2 linked regions of the Daphnia pulex genome follow. The protein of the gene in region 2 purifies or fractionates together with the protein of the main gene of each other region. This does not show direct contact. Links are inferred from orthologs where the notes say so. Each region holds a gene or a part of one and is shown on either strand. Other genes may lie near its edges.

Region 1 (5,295 bases), on a different chromosome or scaffold from region 2:
AAAGGGTGGCAGCCGTGAGCAAAATGCCCCAAACCGCCATTTTCACCCGATCTAAAAAATTTAAAAAAGACATTACATCACATGCAATTCCAATAACAATTCATAACGTACGGATAAAGATCTAAATTCAAAATTTGTTTAAAAAATGTAAGCTTTGTTTTACCGTTACTTGCTGGATAAAAAAGAAATCAGCAAGTTCAATCTTCTCACCCGGATGGGTGCTCGATCAAGACTAACGTTTAAACTAAACTCGAAGTTGGTTGATGAACACATCGAAAAGTTGCGACATTGCAGCAAACGACATTAGCTACGCAGTTTTTTCTATTCCAGAAGCTCCAACCGGTGTCAGGTTTCTTGCTTAACCTACGTGATTTAGAGTACATTTTGCTTAAACATTAAAGAGACTTTGCCCTGTGGCGACTTTGTACATCAATCGCTGCAAAAGACTTAAGAAAACTCGTAGTCATCGCAAGCAAAGTCAGCCATCCGTTCGGAATGAGAGTGCACGACATCCAACTGAAAGAATTGGTGAATGATTACGATTTGTATTGATCGAGGTGAACTTCCAGCATTTTTTTTTTGTTGGCTACAAATGACAGTGACGGGACACGACATTTAAAAACCACTCTTCTTCGGCTCGCTCGTTCGTTTTTTTGTTTTCTCTTGTTGTTGGATTTACTTCATTGTTGGTTGGTTATTTTTTTCCCTTAAGTGTGAACTGGATCGCGTGGTCTTATTTTCGAGGAGGGAGGAGGAAGGGAAGGTTCAAAGGTCACCATCTAGATAGTTATTAGTACAGGACACAAGGGGGGAAAGAGGGGAACAGCGACATCAGCATGTCCCCATCTGATGTTTTCGAGACAAGTCATCAAAAAAAAAAAGCGTTAGTACAATGGAAATCTGATGCTCGTGGTCTAATCTTTTTGTTGGTTGTTTGGGCGGCTCGTCTGTCGGTATACAGTTGCTCTTGGCTCTGACACGCGCTCTCTCTCTCCTTTTCTTCCACCTACTTCTCCCTCACTCTTTCAACTCTTTTTTCTTAAATAAATCGTAAAAGATGGTTCGAGGGTATCAACGGGCAGGTAGGAAAGGGGACAAAAGAAAAAGGGAAGTGATACTAGAATATACCAATTGCACGTTACTCTCTCACGCATTTACGACACGGGCGAGAAAATAGGGAGGGCGGGGTGTGAGGGAGGGGACATAAGGAGGTTTTTTTCCGACACAAAAAGAGAAGATTCCATGTTTCATTAATATTTGTAAAGAACAAATCACGAACTCCAATTTTAAAAAAAAAAAAAGAAGAGACTGTAAGGGAATAGTGTGTGTGTGTGTTTTTAAGGGGTAGAGGGGGAGGGTATGGATGTTGATCTTTTTGCTTTCCATTCAAGAAGAGGCGCATAAAGAGGACGTTTTAGTGGGGATGTGCAGGGTACTCTTAAACCTCGACTTAGTAAAATCTATACTCCGAGCGAGGAACAAGAGAAATGAACCGAGCATGAAAGAAAAAGAGAAGAAAAAATAATAATAATGATAGTAAATTGAAGGAAGAAAGGAGAAAAATTCATCGGTGTTCCGCGATATTTTTTTTTTTTTGCTCTTAAAGGAAGTAATCCGGCGTGCGCCTGGTTACGTGAGGTTCTCCTCTTCTTGGAGCTGGATCGAACTGCAAGCTGTAATTTCACAAACGAGAAAGAAAATCAATAAATGTCTTCTAGATGTAAATTTAAAATGGCTGTTTAAAAACTTACAAGGAGTATTTCAATGAATCATCCAGTTCCATAATGGCCGCTTGGTTGCCGCACCGGTAACAATAGTTGGGCGCAGAGAATATCGTTACCACATTGCGATCGTGACACCTAATGAAGCAATCAAACGTTCAGCCCCAGTACCAACAGATATGTCTTCTGTAAGACAAAACATTACCAGTTATATCCTTCCATGACAAGTTGATGAGCCCTAGAGACCAGAGTCAGGTTGTTGGAGTGATTGAAAGTTTCGGAAATGTCTTGGCCGAAGGTGTAGCCAGCTCCACGGGGGGAAATCCCCCAGCCACCTCGGTCATCTGGATCGGACCATAACAGGTCGCACATGGGGCCCTATTTTAGCAAACGAGACGTATAGGTTGACTAAACTGTGATGTCAAAGTGTTTTCAGACAGCGAACTAACCTCGTGAGGAACTTCTTGGAGACGATCGAGAGATCGAATGTGATCTAAAGTGTCGATAGAAGGGGAAAGTCCTCCGTGAAGACAGAAAATCTGACTGTCGACAAGTGCTGTCAGAGGAAGATAGTCAAAAAGATCGGTGAAGTACTTCCAAACGTTAGCATTGCCGTATTTCCTTAGGCACTCGTCGTAAAATCCGTAGACTTGTGTGATCTGACGAGACTCGTGATTTCCTCTCAAAATGGTAATTCGTTCACGGTAGCGAACCTAAATTGAATGTAATGGAAAAGCAACCTTAGTAACAGTCATACAAATGTACAGTGGAAAAAGTTAATCTAATTCTCAATTGAAAAATCAATAAATATTTCAAAAGCTATCAGCTGCGTAATTAGATAAAAGCCTCCACAAAGCTTTGGGCAAGCCCACCATAAGGAGCAACTTTCAATTGCATCATCCAAATAGTCAACAAACCTAGTCATATCATATTTGAATCTTATTGATTACATGACTTGCAAAAAAAAAAATTCCAAGTATTACCTTGAAATTCTTAATATCCTACTTCTAGATAATTAGTTGAGTCATGTCTGTGGAATAATAAGCAACTCACCTTGAGGGCAACAAGTAATGTGACTGTCTCAACGGAATAGTAACCTCTGTCAACATAGTCTCCCATGAATAAGTAGTTGGTATCTGGAGATTTTCCTCCAATTCGGAAGAGCTCCATCAGGTCATGAAACTGTCCGTGGACATCACCACACACGGTGACAGGGCATCTGACTGGCTGAACATTTGATTCTTTGGCCAAAATTTCTTTTGCCTGTCAAATATAGAACAAACCATAAATATTTAAAGCATTCCATTGATGCAAAAAAAAACGTTGAATGTACGAACCTTTTCACATAGGGTTTTGACTTGGTTCTCGGCCAACTGCTTGCATTCGTTAAGCTGCTCAATCCACTGGTCAAGTTCTTTAACCACTGCTTTCTCTTCCATGGTGAATACTTTACAAATTCGTGCAATACAAAAGTATCAACAGACAAATTGATGTGTCGGTGGGGCCACGAAAACTCAAACGTAACTTCTTGGGCTTGCTTACACTTAACAGAGCGGGTTTAACATGTATCAGTGGCCACCCCCTTTCTGCCACTTTTTCCTAGATAGGAAAATGGCCGCTTCTTTTCATAACGAAGACTTTCGCCACCAGGGGCAGGCTTAGAGCGTTGTGACGTCACATCGTCTCGGCAACGGCTGCGATTCAACATTGATTATATTCCCTTTAATCTCTTTCTTTCTCATAAAACACAAATCAACAGTTTCAAAGCATTATTTTTTTCTTGATACTACTTTTTACTAATTCGAAATAGATTGTCATTCGTTTTCATTGATTGTCATTCAATGTTAATCGATATCTTAATAATCGATTCAGATTGACGATACCAAAACAAAAAATTTTCGAATTTCTATTTTGACGTTTACCATTATTTTGACCAAATCCCCAAGAAATTGGTGTGGTTGAATGCTTCCAATATTTAATATTGCATTTTAATTATTATTTATGCTTAATTTTTAAAATTGTAAAAAATGTTGTTGTCTTAGTTTTATCAGTACAATTGACTTTTAACCTTTTTTCAAAATTATTGTTATTTGCCACAACATGAATCAGGACATCAATTATTTATTTATTGCTGAATTGAATTCAATACATTACAAAGTATGAAAAATACATTTCCTTTTTTAACTTGAGTGTTTTTTTGTTTTATTGAAAACTATCAATTTCGAACTGGATTTAATATAAGGGAAGAAACCGAAATAAGAACGCATCTAAATAACACGTGATAGATAAATGAAGGGAATAACATCACTTCACTTAAACTTCAGGTTGATTTAACATGGGTTTAGGGGCATATGCAGGCGGGCCAGGATTAAAGAGCATTTTCAAATCATCAATAGTTAAACCCTTAGTAGCCAACTTCGCAGCTCCAGTAAGTATGCCATTAGCCATTGCCAACTTTTCCTGCTGCAACTGAAGGATTCTTTCTTCTACAGTTCCCTGAGTTATCATTCGGTGTACGTGGACATCTTTAGTTTGGCCAACGCGATACACCCTGTCGCAGGCTTGAGCCTCAAGCTGAGGATTCCAATGCATATCTGCGATGAAAATATGGTTTCCTCCAATTAAATTGAGGCCAACTCCACCAGCACCCAAGGATAGAAGAATAACCTGAAAGCAAAGGAAATTGTTAATAAAACTAGATTTCGTTAATCAAATAAAAATAACGAAGAAATAAAAATATAAATCTTACCGGTGCACCGTCTGGATTGCTATTGAAATCTTCTACGATTTGTGTTCGGTGTTTGATAGCAACGCTACCTGCGATCAAATGGCAGCGAATGCGCATACGCTGAAAATGCTGGGCAAACAGATCCAGCATGGATGTCCATTGCGAGACCACCACAGCTTTTTGTTTTTGAGAGACAACTTTCCTGACCTCCTCGGTAATGTACCGCATTTTACTGCTCATATTATCGCGATCGAAAACTGGGTTAGTATGGGTAAAGAAGTTGGTTTCTTCTTTCTTCGGCTCGCCCGGTTTATTGTCCAACGTCATGGTGGACATTTGAGAAATCAAATCCAGATCGTTTTCCTCGATTTTGGCGTCTTCGCTCCCCATAGATTCCGAGTCAGTGGCATCCAACATTGTTTGAATCAAAGCGGGGTGAGAGCAAGCCTGTCTGAGGCGTAGGAGGAGCACCAACATCATCTGTTTCGTCACGTTCTTTTGGGGAAGTTCCGGAAGATTCTAGAATTTAAAAAAAGGATTGCGTAAGCTTCACGAAACTAACCACTTGTTATGACTCATTTAAATTACCCGGCGATCATAGGTGAAACCGTAACCTTCTTTAATTTTGTTTTCTTGATTTTTGATGTATTCCTCTAGTGCCTTGCGTGAAAAGGCGAGGAGTTTCTGATAGACTTCGTTCTCTTCTTGTGATAACTCTACGTTGTGAGTGTGTACCTCCCTAAAAAGAAAACGTGTAAAATGTTGCAGCAACTGCAATAGCAAACCAGCATTCATACCTGGCAGGCATAGCAACTAGCGGTTTTTCGCTTCCTTCTACCTTTTGAT
Region 2 (4,221 bases):
GAATTTTCTGCTCCTAGGTAAAAATCCTTTTCAGGGATAAATTAGTTTCTCTAAATCCTTATGCATAAATCTTAATTAATTTTGGAATTCTACACGATAGTGGAATACAAGCTGAAACCCCGGTTTACTCCAAACTGATCAGAAGAATGAAGCACAAGTCTGAAAATCATACATTCTTTTCTTCGCCTCATCAGTCCCCATGTCACACGGATAGTCCTCGACCAAGAAGTCATTCTACAAGTAAGCTTATTAGTTTTTAACTATTATGAAATTAAAAGATTAAAATGGATATTGGATTTTTTAAAAATAGATGTTATATTGGATCATCCTCTTGTTCCAACATCTTTAGCTAAGAGGTAGCCTATTGCAATTCTTTTCCTTTGCAATTTCAGTTGTAACAGCAAAATTATTATTATTTTAGGGAAAAAGTTCTGCCACCCAGCCAATTCCTTGGAATTCCCAAGATACAATTTTCCCCATCGGCACAATGTACTACTCGTAGTGGGCGACCAATTCGTTCCCCCGATAGATATGGTCAAACTGAGGAACTAAGAATTCACCCGCACATCAACATATCTGAAAGCCCATCTACGAGAGTGCATGTCACTCGTAGCGGACGAATCAGTCACTCACCCAACAGATTTCCACAAACAGAAGAGGCAATGGTTTCCTCGTATACACCTAAATCACGGATTACTCAATATACCAAACCCCAGCAGCAAAGTAAGTCGGTATTCATGTTTACATACTTGCTATTTCCTCTACTAATTTTTTCTTTCATCTAGACGCAGAGATAAATTCTTTGACTCCTGAACGTGTCGGTGACATTCCCATAAATAAAGAAGAAAATAACAATGATGTAAATGAAGGCTTTTCGGCCACACATTTTGGTTGAAGATTTTGATTTCCTATTTGTTCTTGTAATCTAAAAAGAATTATATTTTGAGAGGTATGCAATATCTTACACGAAAGAATACAAATGTTGGTTATACAAGCAAATTTATATTTGACGGGTTTCTTTTTGGAATTACATTCAATGTTTAATCCATAACATTAGCCCATGTTGTGCCGATTCCCGTAGCCTCTCCTGTGGTCATCCTTCCAATCATCATATTGGCGAGCTCGGATAAGTTGTTCTTCTTGGTCTAGTTCAGCCTTTCTCTCTAAATCTGTTGCTTCTTGTTCCGCTTTCAAAGCGGCCATTTCTGTATTTTTTGCTTCATCAAGCAGAGAACGAGAATTGCCAGAGGTTTCACCTAATTTTCCATACCTAAATCCCATTTATTAAATTGATTTTAGAACTGATAAATTAATTTAGTTGCTTTAAATACACGTACCATCCATCCTTCATTCTTTGATCAACAAGCTCTTCTACCGTCATAGCGGGAATACTAGGATATCCTAATCCGTAAACTGCCTTTTGGACGGCATCCCTTGTAATAATGATAGGTTTCAATGGTTTGCCCACATATGGTGGTAATTTTTTGGCATCACAACCGCCTCTTTTAATTTTGATGAGGTGTTCAACTATAGGTTTTTCTTGAGTTATGGATTTAAGTTCTTCAATAGTTGAGAAAACAAATTTCTTCATCAATAATATGTAGTATTCACGTGCAATTGATTCATCTGAACTAGGGTTTTCAAGAGCATTCTTGAGTTCAATGAGTTTCGATTCCAAGTCCTTGGCTTCTCTGAATTTCCTGATTTTCTCCTCTCTTTGTCTTGCCATTTCTTCAAACCCCATAGGACCAGGATGTCTTGGTGGTTCCTCACATTTCACAAGTTGATCTCTGTCAGGGATATCCAATCCTCCAACTGAATAATCCTTGCATCGCTGAAGAAAATCTTGAAAATAAACTTCTGCAACATTAAGAATATTTAATCGGTCATCTGAATTGAGTTTCAGACTCAAATCCCCAAGAAGCACTGGCAAGAGGAAAAATTTCAAATCATTGGTTGCAACTTCATCAACACTTTCATTTGTACTAAAGAGTCCAAGGGAGCTGACAAGTCTGGTTGCATCCTCCAGTATTTGAATGCAACTTCTAACTTTAGCCTATAAATCATTCAAAAAAATAGTTTGAAAAACACAATAAACCAAGAAATTCTTTGAATAGAATACTGACTACATACCTGATATTCAGGACTGTTGGAAGGATCCATGGTATCACACAATCCATGATATATCTTCAATCCTTTGTCAAACAACCCTGACACCGTTTCAGATCCATCTTCTAAATCGGCCGACATTTCCGTTTTCTTAATGCTATGTTTTTATACTGAAGCATAGAGCCATAGACTACTAAGTTGAGACAGTGCTTACACGGGTTGCCATCTAGTAGTCGTAACTCGTAAAATGATTACACCAACTATCCATGAATACCACGTAGTGGAGTCATTAAGAACCGGTTTTAACCAGAAACAAATTGCATCATGAGATTTTCTTCATGAACTTTATTATAACTTTGATACTAAACCATTAAAAAAAATTCAATATTTCCAGTCTCCCTGTTAAATTTCCCATAAGAGGGGGCTCCGCTCATTTTACTAAAGGGGGGTCTCAATGTATTTCCGTATGCCGCAACAGCCTAGATGGCGTGGCATTCGTTGAGACCTCCCTATGCCTCCATACAAAAGTCGCTAGTAAAAAGTAGCTTCCCGTCAAATCCCCATATGGGAAATATGGGGACCCCCAAATATGAAAACCCCTATTTTTACTCCTAATTAAACCCCTATTTTAGATAGATGTTGCAAATGGTCGTCGAGGGCTATTGGAATTTAACGTTGACTGCAGCGACCATAGGCTAGATGACTCTGGTTCTGCTCAGTTTATCACCCAATATAACCCTATTTGACAACCATGTATCGAGTATAAATTTGCACTTCTAGGTTTTGGGTAGTCTTGTCACTCGGACTTTTTTCGATGGTTCTGCAGACTGGAACATCGCCAATTTTAACCAGTTGCAAAGCAAGCACACGCAATTTATTTGTAAGACTTAAATTTCATATTTAAGAACGATAAGGAGAATAAAAATTAAAAAAATCAAATGCTTAAACAGGAAATGCTAGACAATTAACAATCTAGTATACTCAACGCGTATTTTGCTGCTGCACTTTTGGCAACTGACGTTTTTTGCCAAACCTCTACTGATAGGGATTGCATCAATTTTAAGCGTAACACGGGTCAAACCCATGATCTTTGTTTCTCTATTATAAAAAAAAAACATTATAAATTTTTTTTAGTAATATGTCAAATTATATTACGCAAATTGCAAAGCTTTTCCATATTTACGATGAATCGTCTGGACAGGGTTCTTAGGCCAGTAACTGATCTTTCCATCTGAAATTTAAAATTTTGAGTTAATTGAACATTTATAAATTAATTCAAATCTACCGGGGGCAAGAAGTGGGGCGATAACCGCCCACGTAATGTCGTTAGAATAACCCGAGTCTTCGAATATAGCTCCGGCAAGGGCTATATCCGGCTATAACCGCCGAGTTTTTAGAATTTTCCCAAATTAGAGACGTGCTCCCACTACCCCAGCGCAATTTTAGCCCACCCTTTCTCGCATGTGATTGGTTCGGCCCGATTTGAAAAGGCCTTGAAAAGCAAGCACACGCAATTCGTTTGTAAGCAGTAAATTTCATTTTTAAGACAGTAAGGAGCAAACAAAATCAAATGTTTGGAAAAGAAATGTGGACAATTGGCAATCTAGTATACGCAATGCGTATTAGACTGCAGCACTCTTTGCGACTTTCACGTTTCAGGTTAGAAGTAAATTTTATTTTTAAGACAGTAAGGAGCAAAAAAAAATCAAATGTTTGGAAAAGAAATGTGGACAATTGGCAATCTAGTATACGCAATGCGTATTAGACTGCAGCACTCTTTGCGACTTTCACGTTTCAGGTTAGAAGTAAATTTCATTTTTAAGACAGTAAGGAGCAAAACAAATTAAATGGTTGGAAAAGAAATGTGGACACTTAGCAATCTAGTATACGCAACGCGTACTTGGCTGCGGCACTTTTTGCGACTTTCACGTTTTTCCCCAAACCTCGACTGATGAGAATGGAATCAACATTGAGCGTGACACAGGTCAAACCCATGATCTTTGTCTCTCTATTATTTAAAAAAAAAAAACATTAGCATAAAAAAAAATTAGTAATATGTCTACTTCTTACACGAACTCCATAGCTTTTCCAAATTTTCGATGAATGGTCTGG

What was found.
Region 1: the proteins of immunoglobulin-binding protein 1b-like (region 2) and serine/threonine-protein phosphatase 2A catalytic subunit alpha isoform purify together in Drosophila melanogaster (affinity purification with western blotting; 3 studies listed by BioGRID, with this or other methods). This does not show direct contact. The link is inferred for Daphnia pulex from reciprocal best matches to the Drosophila melanogaster genes Tap42 and mts.

The regions. Positions count from the first base shown.
Region 1 is NC_060026.1:13,488,868-13,494,162, forward strand, and holds serine/threonine-protein phosphatase 2A catalytic subunit alpha isoform, read right to left. Parts: upstream 3,390-5,295; 5' UTR 3,161-3,389; coding exon 3,059-3,160; intron 2,985-3,058; coding exon 2,775-2,984; intron 2,435-2,774; coding exon 2,171-2,434; intron 2,100-2,170; coding exon 1,927-2,099; intron 1,860-1,926; coding exon 1,752-1,859; intron 1,674-1,751; coding exon 1,601-1,673; 3' UTR 530-1,600; downstream 1-529. Other genes in the region: transcription termination factor 2-like, read right to left, coding at 4,035-4,388, 4,471-4,968, 5,038-5,188, 5,247-5,295.
Region 2 is NC_060028.1:6,376,692-6,380,912, reverse strand, and holds immunoglobulin-binding protein 1b-like, read right to left. Parts: upstream 2,317-4,221; 5' UTR 2,251-2,316; coding exon 2,134-2,250; intron 2,057-2,133; coding exon 1,338-2,056; intron 1,271-1,337; coding exon 1,054-1,270; 3' UTR 983-1,053; downstream 1-982. Other genes in the region: uncharacterized protein LOC124209844, read left to right, coding at 1-17, 101-240, 311-356, 422-723, 786-895; endoribonuclease Dicer homolog 1-like, read right to left, coding at 3,066-3,207, 3,265-3,340, 3,395-3,485, 4,039-4,104.